Linked DNA regions of Xenopus tropicalis. The protein of the gene in region 2 interacts with the protein of the main gene of each other region in a biochemical or structural test. Links are inferred from orthologs where the notes say so. Each region holds a gene or a part of one and is shown on either strand. Other genes may lie near its edges. The genes, in order: ube2n, sh3rf1 and akt2.

Region 1 (4,036 bases), on a different chromosome or scaffold from region 2:
TAAAAGGCTTAATCTTTCCCATAAGGAATGGTTGTGGGAAAGATCTTCAGTAGGCAGGTAGGGTAACTAAAAAAAAAAGAGCAAAATCATGTGAACTAGCTATAAACTGAAATAGAAATCAGGACAAGAAATATCATGAAAAAATGGTATGTAATAGTGAATAAAACTGAAAAATAAAGAAGCAGGCCAGTAAATGTACTGATGCCTTTGAACTCGAGTTAGTAATAACTTTTGAGAATACCACAGATAGCAAGGAACAAACATGGATCCTTGACAAGATCAAACCAGACTTTCCACTTGATTCGCTAATAAGAAAACTGAAGCTTTCTTATGTTAGACATATCAGAAGATCATGATAATTGCATTAGACAATTTATAAACGTTGAATGGAAAATAAAATGCATGCAGGCAATATCTATATTGTTGCCAAGGGTCAACACCCAATTGATGGCACATTATTTCACTGCATGTTATCTTATGTATGTTAGAAATACTCCAAGGAAGCCATAGTGAGATTCAGATTTGCTGTGTAGCTTCAAATAAATATTTTACATGTAAAATACGGTTTCATTTTAACTGCAACAGCAAAACAAACCAAAAACTTTTACAACAAATATGCATTAAATGATAATATGCATTAAAACAAAACATCTAAGGGCTTTTTAAGCCAAATGATTTTAACCGTTTGATTTTATTTAGTGATGCTGTCTACACCATCACCAACATCTCTCTCCCAGCACTCAGTGCAGCATTTTGACAGGTTGCCAGCAATTAGCTTTAGAAATTAAAGTGGTGTAAGCTGGAATCATGACAGGAAGTGCTGGTGATCTGTTCCTGCTGAATTAAACTACATATACCACTTTGGTGCATGGTTTATATGCCAGTTTTTCTGCATGTGTTACAGCGATGCACTTAAATAGCTACTATATTGAAAGCAAGAGTGTGCTATATTTTTCAATCTCATCACATCCAGCCACAAACTTCTTCCATTTCATCCGTGTATTTTGCGAAATGTTTTCTTTGTATATCAGATGTATGTAAGAAGTCCAGCAAAAATATTTAATTATACATGTGAGGTTGGAAAAAAGGTTCAAATACTGGTTAAAAGTATCTTGCATAATATATGATATAATTTAGACAGGAAATGTGGAAACACTGCTGACAATATAGAAGATGGTTGTCACTGATTCACATAAAAAAGTGAAGCAGATAGAGCTTAGCAGAGGCAGACATCCCAAAAAATGAACATTTAAAATATTTAATTAGAATTTAAGTAAAATCTGGGCTTCAGCACAGTACCTAGTCCAATATTGATATTCATAGGCCAATTTCCCAACCACTGTAAATGGCAATACTATCAACCTAAGTTACCCAACCATTTAGCATGAAGATTTAAAGGACAGATATCTGCTTCCTTCAGTGCCTCACATCATATGACATTCAACTGTATCTTTATTTGACTTAAAGGGATGATGCAACTTCAGAATAAAGTATATGCCATGCGTTCCACAAATAAATGTTGTGGCTGAAGTTCTGAAAAGCTAATAGTGAATCCTGTGGCAAAATATAACCTATCACAAGCTGCTGGGACAAGAACAGGTCTTCTGAGAGACTGCACATTACGCAGAGACACCACAAAAGAGGGAACCTGGTTGCCTCTTTAGAGCATTGACAGATGGAGCTACTTGTTGTGGCTACAAAATAGACAACAGTAAATATTCTCAATATGTGTTTCAGCAGAGACAATTCTCAGTATTATCTATAGAAGGGTATTTTCTGGTACTTTGTGGCTGCAACTAGTAGCTCTGTGTGTCATTAAGTAGTTTACCTAGAATAAGAATTCTTAATCTAGGTGTTGGGGAACCACAATGAATCCCCGTCCACGCTACTTAGGTTGGGTCTCCATAACCTTTACCTGACCGAAAACGCCACTGAAGAACAGTAATTACGAATTATAATATGGTGCTTAAAGGATCCTAAATTAATTAGTGGTTCGTGAGTTGTTCCAAAGTCACCTGGATACCCCAGAAAAACGTAACACTTACCTAGAAGCAGCTCTGCGCTAGTATTTAGTAAGGGTAAAATCCCCCTTAGCATGGCTCAACCAACAGCCATGTAAAAATGTAGAATACATTGGGGTACAGTGACAAGCAGAACTATTTGGCTCCCAATTTAACTAAATGAGGTGCAATAAATAGTGAGCCAAGATGAAATATACCCTCCTTACTAATCAATAGCCTACCTATATATAAAATGGTCTACTGCCGACACCTCTGCCGTCAATTGATGCAGTAAAATGCGATATAGCTCCTAAACACTAAGCACACGTATTAGTAATGGCATGCAGTGTCTGGGGGAGTCACCCTATGTGCTACAGTGTAACTCATTCCTATATACCCCCCCCCCCATATCTGTACCCTTATGTAGCCTTAACGCTAACAGACTACAAGCAAATGGCGTGGGTGTGGTCGGCACAAGGTTTTACTTCAAGCACAAAAAATAACGTTGTCCCCATATCCCCGTTGGGGTGGTTTCCTATACAAGGCGCGCACACATAGCGACCCCGGACCCTCAACCCCATCAGACATCACTACAGGCCCAGTACCACCCGGCGGGTGCCATGTTGAAGCGGGCTGGAGGGCGGGGACATTCCCGGGCCTTGTCTCCATTCATTCGGATCAATGCCGCTGATCTAAGCCCAAGACATAACGTAAAGCAATCGCTACTACTTCACTAGCTACAAGCCGCCAATTACCTTGATTATCCTGCGAGGCAGCCCGGCCATCCTGTCTTATAATGCGTGCAGCCTCCAACTCTCTGCGTGCCACCGGATCCCCCTGTCACGCACAAGTGAGAGCGCGGCATCCGCTTCCGCTGACGTCATTGCGACAGCCCACAGGCTCATGGGAGATGTAGTTGTAACGGGACTCGTTATTCCTCTCATGTATAATGATGTAATCACGCTTGTTGGTGTGTGTAGTCAGAATGTTCATTTTAGCCCAAGGAACAATGCTTAAGTGTTTCAGTATGTCTTCTATGCACTGCCTGTAGCGAGCATAGAAGACATTGAAAACCAACAAGACGTAAGAAACGAACAGTCGTGTTAGCATGATGAGGTTTCAGCTTCACCCCACCCCATACAGCTGGCGAGACAAGAAATGAAACTGGAGTCAGACTATGCTATAAGGCCTGAAAGTAGGACACCTTGAATAAAACCATATGACTTCACTATTATATTAGCAGAAAAAAAAGCAACTTCATATTAACACCCTCTGAATGTAATGTTAGGCAGGTAGCAAATGTTTTGATTCTTTTGGTAACAGAATATAAGACTCTACTTGAATAGAAGTCGGGGTAATAGTGTATAGAGCCAGTCTATCAGAAATTGTTTACACATTTTGCAGAAACCCCAGCATCAACAAAAGCTTAATTCATGGTGGCTTAGTGGACTGCCTTGCAGTGCTGGGATCCTGTATTCAAAACCAGTTTGAGCATGCAAGGAGTTGGTATGTTCTTTCTGTGTCTGGAGTAGCTCTGGCTAGTCCAGTTCCATCTCACACACCAAAAACATATAGATAAGTTAACTGCCTACTCCCTAAAATGCTTTCCCACTGGCAATAAAGTGACTTATTGGTGGAAAGGAATATGCAGCACTACATTGGCCAAAGTTTCTTGTGCAGAAAACATTGCATGACTGGAAAACAAAGTGACGTGTGTGCTTTCCCACCAGCGATCTGACTTTAACTGCAGGCGGCTAATCTCCCTGTGTGCCACTGCCCTTACAGTCTAAGGTCCCTATCACATTATGGTCAGTAAAATGAGTAACCAATTAACTTGCCTGTATGTTTTTGGTGTGACACACATCAGACATCATTACAGGCCCAATACCACCCTGCGGGTGCCATGTTGAAGCGGGCTGGAAGGCGGGTACATTCTCTGGGAACATACTAACTCCTTGCAGATAGTGCTCAAGCCATGTGTGCTTTCCCACCAAAGATTCATTTTATTGCCAGTGGGAAAGCATTTTAAGGAGATT
Region 2 (4,170 bases):
GCGGAGGCAATGACCGATCTAATCGCTCCGCCCCCCCCCCCGAACCTTCTCCTGTGCTTTGGCGCGCATGCGCCGTTCGGGGGGGCGGAGAGGTGGGCGGAGTTGGCCGACCGTGTTGCCTAGGGCGCCCGGTCGGCTTGGCCCACCCCTGTTTACTACCACTATTTTTGGCGTATATCATTTTACAAAGCATTAAGATACCAACCCAATGTTGGACTGGCAGACTAGTGAGTTTATGAGAACTGTTTATGCAGGCACTCAAGGCTTTGGCACAATTGCACGTAACCTATGACACTAGTGTAATTCCCCACTTATATTACAGTGTCACCCACAGTAACCTGCATCACTTAATTCCCTCCTATTTGTGTCTGTAAGTTACCCTGCCATTTAGATTGTAAGCTCTATTGGGCAGGTACCACCATCCTCTTGTCTCTTTCATTTGCCCTGTGAAATCTTAAATGCAACTCTACTTTTTATTTGCATTCATTATTATACTTTGTATTTATGTATCTATTATTTTAATGACCCCGTTTATTAATTTATTGCTCTGCTGTACAGTGCTGCGTACATAAGTAGAGCTATATAAATAAAAATATACACACATACATCCCGCAGTTAAAGTTCCCAGCAAAACCCTGAAAACATTAGAAATTTGGTAAGATCTTTTACTATGTGATCTAACTTCCACTACAGAACCAAGCTTTTTTACCTGCTAACCCACAGAGAAATTATTGCACTATACCAAAACCTTCACACATAATAATATATATATATATAGTTCTTTTCTTTTACTCTGGGCTCAAAGAAAACAAACAGTCAGTACGGTTGTGCACATAAAACGTGCTTACTCAGTGCTGCCTCAGGCCATTTACATGCTCTTGCACTAATACACTAACACCCTTTGCTTTCACCGGCACTCACACTTATAGTTATTTGTATGTAACTGGCATGTTTGATATATACACTTGTTTATTGTACCGCGCAGTGGAATATGTTGATGCTATGAATACAGTGTTAATCTCAATCAATACCAATGCCTGTACTGGTTATAATATGGGTACCAGACGAGAGGAAACCACAACCCTTCTAACAGAAGGACTAGATAAATTCATTTAGCTATCTGTTTCTATGGAAACCAGTCACAGGAACAAAGATTCCTGTTGCCAGCCCTTCAGTGTGGAAGGAAAAGACCCTTCACCACAAAAGAAAGGACACAGAGTGTGGAGAGTGACAGAGAGACACAGTAAGGCACTCACAGATGTCCAAGTGCCAAAGAATCCAGGGTTTGTTTAGCACAGAGTTAAGGCTGGGGAAGCACAGGGGTTAATCCCTCCCATTAACCCAGCCTTGGTGTATGGGCAGTTTCACATGCTGCCTTTCCCTTTTGCTATGGTAATGCAGGGGAATGTGAGAGAGTGTTACCCAGGACACTTCCTGCTACATGTTTGGAGCATGAGTATAGTGAACGGGGTGGAGCCATTCCCACGTCTAGTGAAAATTCCATATCGCTTTCTCCTCTTCTCACCTGAAGCAATGAGATTAAAGTTTAATGAGCTCTGCCAGGGGATGATACTATGGCTCCCACTTCCTTCCTCGCAGCAGCAGTTGAGAAGGCAAATGATCCAGGGATCCTTGTTTATAGCTCTGTTTACTTATAAATGCTGTCAGTCACATTAAGGGGCATATTTATAAAGGTGTATAAAAAATCTTCTAAATCTAAAAATTACCAAATGTCTGCACATTAACACAAAGGTGCCATTACAACAAACACAGAACCTTACACCACTTTTGATACCACCAATTCCTTGCCACTAGATTTTGCCCCATTCACTTCAATGGGTTGCGACAGGGCTGAGGTGGAGTAAAATCATGGTGTAATTAGCAGTTAGGCTGGCAAAATACATGACACACCTTTATAAATATGCCGATTAGCTCTTTGTAATAGATTATGCCTAAAGGACATAATTCATGTGTAAGCACAGTGGAGGAAATATACCAGTTATTTGACACCAACTTTTAAACTATATCATAGGTGTAAAGTGTCTTACAGAGCTTTATAAATGTGCCCAATATATTATGTACCTGGTAGGTCCAACTGGAGCTCCTCCATGTATTGATAAACTACAGCTTCCAGGATACCATTTCAGCCTCTGGCTCAAGGGGAATGCTGGGAGCTGCAGTACAACAACAGCTGTGAGGAATCAGCTTGGGCATGCTGGATAATAAAAATGAAGCATAGCATTGGCACCCAGTACAGTTGGTATAATATTAGGACTGCTCCCAATATTATACAAACTGTACTGGGTGTCAGTGCTATGCAAGGGAAGTCCAAACTGCAGCCCTCCAGCAGTCAGGGGATGAGGGCAGATAACAGTGCCACATTCGCTGGAGGGCAGCTTCAAGCAATCTCTGTTACTGTGTAATTACATGATTAGAAGAGAAACAGGTCCTGCAGGACTGCTCCTCTGAACCCCAGACCACCCCAGTTAGTGAGAGCAGGCAGTGACACCCACCCCCATTCCAAAGTAGACCCATCAGCCTTGCTAACATTACACTCCCCTTGTCTTGCCAAAGTGCGAGCAGGCACCAGGCTGCCAGGAGCCAGCACTGACCTGCAGAGGAAGCCCAGGGCTCGGCACTGACCTGCAGAGGAAGCCCAGGGCTCGGCACAGAGTTGCACAGGCTGCGCGATCACTTCTCTCCGGGGATTTCAAGAGCCGGGGGAAGACCTACAATCCAAAGAACAGACTATGGGGATCCACTGAGCCCCTCGGTGTCTCCTGTGCCTTTGTCCCTGCGGCAATATCACTGAGTGTGTGCCTGGGTCTCTCCCATGAACTCCCTCCTTCTCCTCCCTGCCATCCGACAGGAGCACGTCACGGCTATGGGAGGGGGAGCAGGGGGAGGAGATGGGCAGGGGCTCCGGCTGCCGCTGCTGAACGTGGAATGAGAGAGATGGGATGGTGGCTATGGAGCAATACTATGGGATATACCAACTGCGCTGACTGTGAGGGTATGGAGCATCATTCCATATGCGCCTCACGGAGCTCTTTCTGCTGCTAAGCCACGCATAATGGATGATCCAGCAGATCCAGATATACCTATATACTTATTATATACTAACAACCCCATGTGTTGTGTAGGCACTACAACATTACATATTTTAGTTTATGACACTGGGTTTATCGGTTTTGCCGAAATATTGTTTTTATCAGTTGCTGGAGCTTATTTAATAAGCCTGAAACTAAGGGAACAAACAATCTTCATTAAAACTCAATTTGTTTCCACACAATTGTGAACTGCTGATTTTGTCAACTCCTAACATCAATCTGTGGGGCATATTTATTATGCTGTGTAAAACCAATTTGTAGAAAAAATGATGTAAAAAGGTGTGTAAAATGGAGAAGATCACAGCCCGAACGCAAGGTTTTACGCCATTATTTTACGTAAGATCCAGCGGAAGAAAAAACTTGTAAAACAATTACGCCATTTTTACGCCGGTTTTTACACGGCAAAGCCTGGCGATGTGTGGCAAATTTACCCACCGATTTTTAGACAGCATAATAAATATGCCCCTGTGTGTGTACATGTGCCTGCAAAGTATCCCAGCTGTGCCTCAGCCTCATAGACAAAGCCCTAAGCCGGCTGGGCTGTTAGAAAGTGCCTGGCAATACAATACAGGCTCCTTCAGTTTGTAAGGATACCCGCCCTCCCTCCGGAGCAATCCCCATCTCACCTATGTGCTGCAGCAGCGCTAAAACTGGGTCAAATAAGCTATAGGATTCAGGGATGGGTTTTATGGTGACCTGGTTTCACCTGATCGGTCTCATAGGGCACCTCAAGCAGGAGGGTATTCACTGAACAGTATGATACTTTGGGCCTGTGTTACAAGCAGCAGCAGATAAAGGGAGCACTGTATTTTCTAATTGCACAGGGCACTAATTATAAAACAGTTTCCTTTTCTAAGCCATGATCTAATACACACACGATGAATCCTGCATACAGCAGAATGTGGAACACTCAGTGAACACACATAATATAGGATTTGAAGGGATACATCCACCCACTATACTAGTAGCTATCAGACTTTTTCCCTTAAAGGAATGCTTTAATGGGAAAACATTTTTTTTTTCAAAACATGTCAGTTAATAGAGCTTCTCCAGCAGAATC
Region 3 (4,331 bases), on a different chromosome or scaffold from region 2:
ACTTGCATACCTGTAGATTTGCTGGAGCTTACAGCAACTCTTAGTTGTTCCCTGAGAGGGTCACACTGATGTATCATCTCTGTAAAGGTCTGCAGAATATGTCAGCATTATGTATAAAATTATAATAAAAATAAAATAACACCGATAACAGCATAAACAGCATCAACTGGTGGCCAAAACTGCGCAATTGTAAAACCTACCCTGGGTGCATAATATCCATAGTGAAGTCTACAATTCTGATATTTTAATTGTCATTGAACTGAATCTTGCAGAAGACCTTAAAGGACAAGGAAAGGGAAAGTCACTTGGGGGTGCCAAAAAAGTTGGGCAACCCCGAGTGACTTAAATTGCCTACCTTTTACCCCGGGCTGGTGCCCCTGTTCGGAGAGAACAGCACCAGCCCAGGGTACCTGGGGCGCTTCCTCCTTCCTGTGCGCATGCACAGTAGAGTGAAAAAGCCGAACTTTACCAGAGAAGTCGGCTTTTCACTCTACTGCGCATGCACCGGTCATGGGGTCCTGGCAAAACGAAGCAGGAAGCGCTCGCTACAGGTACCCCGGGCTGGTGCTGTTTTCTCCTAACAGGGGCACCAACCCCAAGCTACAAGGTAAGCGATTAAAGTCACTTGGGATGCCTAATATTTTGGCACCCCCAAGTGACTTAGCCTTTCCTTTTCCTTTAAAATATGAAGAATGAGAAGTGTCAAGTTGTTGAGGTTTAAGCCTGGCCTGACAGAATTTATTGACAGTAATCTAGAAAAAGAAAATGCCATAACCAGTGCCTGATTCCTATTGTGATGATTTTTTAATAAATCCCCGAGATGAGATAAAGAAAAACAATTAAAATTAAGGTAAGATTGTCTAAAGGACCAAAAAGACATTGACATTACACTATCCTAAGTTGGGTATGTAACTATGAAATTACTATTGCAATAATTCTGGGCTTGCAGAAAGTAGAAGAAACATGTCAAATGTCAGATTTTAAAATGTCTCTGGGTATTTTATGGGCAAGCAGTTGCACACAAGTCAAATACTGTAAAGTGTTGGCTTGGGTGGTGTTAAGGTCACCACCATGGGGCAGTCTCTAAAGTGATGAAATACCATCTGGCAGTTTGATGAACAAGTCTGTATGGCATAAGTCAGGAGAACACTACCACTTTGAATACATAATGGCAATTGTAAAATTTTGTTGACAAGATATAATGGTCTGGGCCTTTTTTCATGGTTACAGAACTTGACTGGCCTGCACACAACTCTGGCCTCAACACAAAAACTTCTGTGGGATGTAACTTGCTATTTCTCTCTTGCAGCTGAATGGAAGCAAACCCCACCAACTTTGCTCCAACTTCTAGTGGAAAGTTATAGCAGAAAAGAGTGGGTCAACTTAATATTATACAATGAGGGAGAAGTTACATATTCTGACAAAAGTCTGGTACAAACAACTCATTTGTATACTAAGCAATGTACATATGTACACAGGTTGAATTGGAGTCCCTGGAATTAATTTCTATTTTTGTGTAAATATAGGCTGCATATTATCACTAACAGATGCTAAAGTAATTAAACTAAGCACTGGTATATAGTTACTTGCAGCAGCCCGTCATTACAACATTACTTTCATTTGTGTATAAACAGCAGCCTAATAATTCAGTTTCCCCCCTAGCAGTTTTTGTCCAGTTCTGATGCGTCTTAAAGCTTCCCCCAGCCTTGTCCACTATAATAATACTTTTCACAGGCACTGGTAGGATTCTGCACTTCTGCAAATACACTACATACTGAATTTGCATAAGCGCACAGTCCTATCAGCACCTGTAAGACATGTTTTCTATTACGTTAGGTGAGGTAGGCAATATTCTTTTGCACCCGCCAGGGTGGAAAGTTCAATGGGAAGAACAATATGCTTTTAGTATATCTTCTCAGGTGAAGAAGCCTCTGCATAAGCTTGATTTGAGTGCTTGCTATACTGTTTTTAAAGGGCGAAATCTGGAAAACAATAGTACAGATTATTCTGAAATGAGATTTCTATATGCCAAATGATATTGCCAGCTTGATACCCAATAGCTTTCCCCTGTTCTACAAGAAATACCATGGAAAATAGTGGTTTTCTAATTCAGTAATTAAGCAGTAAGTTGACCATTAAGCCAAATTAGCACCCTATCAATTCCATGCTGCATCTTCTGTTCTAGCTCTAAACTTTTATACTGACCTATATTGGACTTAGAAAACAACACATATTTTGGCTACATTCTCTATTTGTTGTTAAACAAGCACAGTCCAATGTCAAAAACAGTGTGATTACCTAAAAAATAAATGAAATGTTTCCATTGTATCACTGAGAACATTCTCTAACACAGTACAAAGTCAGGCTAGTAGGATTCAGTACTGGAGAGATCCAAACGTTTTATAGTTTACACTCTTTCGTGGAAACGTTATAAAATGAATTCATAAAACGCATAAAGTAAGCACACCATCCTTTAACCAGACACATTGATCTACAAATGGCTGCACCACTCAGTGTACATGCAAGCAAACAGCTGCTCAAAGAGTGGGATGAATACCCCAGACAATGCTGTATGGTACCAGTAAAAGAAATATTTAAGTAGGTAGCTCAAAAGATATCATTTTGGTGCTGGCCCACTTCAACTTACCTGGAATGGCCTGCTGTTGCTTTCTGTGTAGCCCTGGCACGGCAACCACTCTCAGGGCCGCCATCAAGGGGGGGGGGCATGGGGAACAGACGTCCCGGCCCCGGTGGGTTTCGGGTCTTAAGGGGGAAGGGGCTATGCTGCACTTACTTGGATTATCGGGTTCCCTGCTGTCACAGAGCTGCCTACTTCGGAAGGGAGGGCGGTTGCTAGGGTGCCTGCAAGTTCTTTCTCCTACAGCCCCAACACCGCAGCTCTCATCACGCGAGACTGGCGCAGAGACGTAAGCGCAGTGACGCACTATAGCCTACTTGTGGGAGTGACGAGTCGGCGTAATTCATACAGTAGGAGCTGCTGCTGAGACGCTGTAGTTCTACTCACAATTTGTTTTTCCTCTGCTCGCACCTCCTACTTCTGTTAAAGAACAAAAAAAAAAAAAAAACTTGTTTTGTGTTGGTTTCCCGCCGTGCCCCTTGCCACCTGAGATCCCAGTTTCCTTAGAAGTTATGCCAGGGGACTAAAAGAACACTTTTTCCTGATTGCAAAGGGTGCCTGCTGGCAGCAGAGGCTCTTCTCCGAATTTGACAAAACAGGAAAACAATTTTTGTGCAAACTTGTACCAAGTGAAATTGTATTTTTTATAGTCTTTTTGTGCAAACAAGGGGGGAAGAAAATGGGCGAAGTTAGCCAAAAGTAGTCTCTAAAACTGGCCATGCCCCAATAAGATCGGTTTTGTACGGTTTTTGGACCGTGAGTAGGCTCAGAATTATCATCCCGATAATTTTCTTAACCGCAGCATTAAAGGCCCCCATACATGGGCCAATTTTTTACTGTCAAACGACTGATTCCCGAACGATCCGATACTATCGTTAAGTTATCGTATAGTTGATGGTGTGCAAACGATCGTCGGCCCACTAATCGACCCGACATTATCGTCCCCAAAATCGATCGGCCAGGTTTAAAAATTTTAGTCGTTTAACGATAAAATCTGCCAGTTGGTGTGAGTGTCAGACATTTGTCTTCGAACGATTGTTTTCTGCGCATGTCATGATTGCCAGCAGCGGAAGTCAACAAACATAAATAAATAAATACCATTTCCGCCACGACATTGGATCGTACGTAGATGTACGATCATACGTACTTTACGATGATGATACGATGAAATCTTTTGCAAATTATCGTTGGCCGTGGATGGCATATCGTATGGAAACCCAATCACCATACGATCGTTTGTCGATATAATCGTTCGTCGCACAACGAGTGAAATCGCCTCGTGTATGGGGACCTTTAGTTGACTGGGCAGGTTAGAACATTTGGGTCGGATAGTGATAATATCTGTGTATGTATTGTGTATCTGACTATATCTTTGGGGGACCTACAGTCTCCTTCATACGACTGGTGTCTGCCAACTATCTTGTGTTCAGAACATCCTCCGATTTGTTATTTTTAGGGCTTTATCTTACAGTTTGAGTCTCAAATGTTAGTTTTAGATAGTTTCATTTAAATGTATGACAGATATCCTAACGTTTTTTGGAAGAAGACTAAAACCTGAACGTGTATGGCAGGGATCCCCAACCTTTTATACCCATGAGCCACATTCAAATGGAAAAAGTGTTGGGGAGCAACAAAAGCATGGAAAAAGTTCGCAGGGTGCAAATAAGAGGTATAATTAGCTACTTAGTAGTCC

The links.
Region 1: the proteins of sh3rf1 (region 2) and ube2n form a complex in vitro, tested with the Homo sapiens proteins (2 studies listed by BioGRID). The link is inferred for Xenopus tropicalis from reciprocal best matches to the Homo sapiens genes SH3RF1 and UBE2N.
Region 3: the proteins of sh3rf1 (region 2) and akt2 form a complex in vitro, tested with the Homo sapiens proteins (2 studies listed by BioGRID and IntAct, with this or other methods). The link is inferred for Xenopus tropicalis from reciprocal best matches to the Homo sapiens genes SH3RF1 and AKT2.

The regions. Positions count from the first base shown.
Region 1 is NC_030679.2:56,096,465-56,100,500, forward strand, and holds the start of ube2n (ubiquitin-conjugating enzyme E2 N), read right to left. Parts: upstream 2,804-4,036; 5' UTR 2,786-2,803; coding exon 2,756-2,785; intron 1-2,755. UniProt on the Homo sapiens protein: The UBE2V1-UBE2N and UBE2V2-UBE2N heterodimers catalyze the synthesis of non-canonical 'Lys-63'-linked polyubiquitin chains. This type of polyubiquitination does not lead to protein degradation by the proteasome.
Region 2 is NC_030677.2:50,108,890-50,113,059, reverse strand, and holds the start of sh3rf1 (E3 ubiquitin-protein ligase SH3RF1), read right to left. Parts: upstream 2,845-4,170; 5' UTR 2,613-2,844; intron 1-2,612. UniProt on the Homo sapiens protein: Has E3 ubiquitin-protein ligase activity. In the absence of an external substrate, it can catalyze self-ubiquitination. Stimulates ubiquitination of potassium channel KCNJ1, enhancing it's dynamin-dependent and clathrin-independent endocytosis.
Region 3 is NC_030684.2:77,753,526-77,757,856, forward strand, and holds the start of akt2 (RAC-beta serine/threonine-protein kinase), read right to left. Parts: upstream 2,806-4,331; 5' UTR 2,795-2,805; intron 2,748-2,794; exon of another isoform or gene 2,648-2,747; intron 1-2,647. UniProt on the Homo sapiens protein: Serine/threonine kinase closely related to AKT1 and AKT3. All 3 enzymes, AKT1, AKT2 and AKT3, are collectively known as AKT kinase.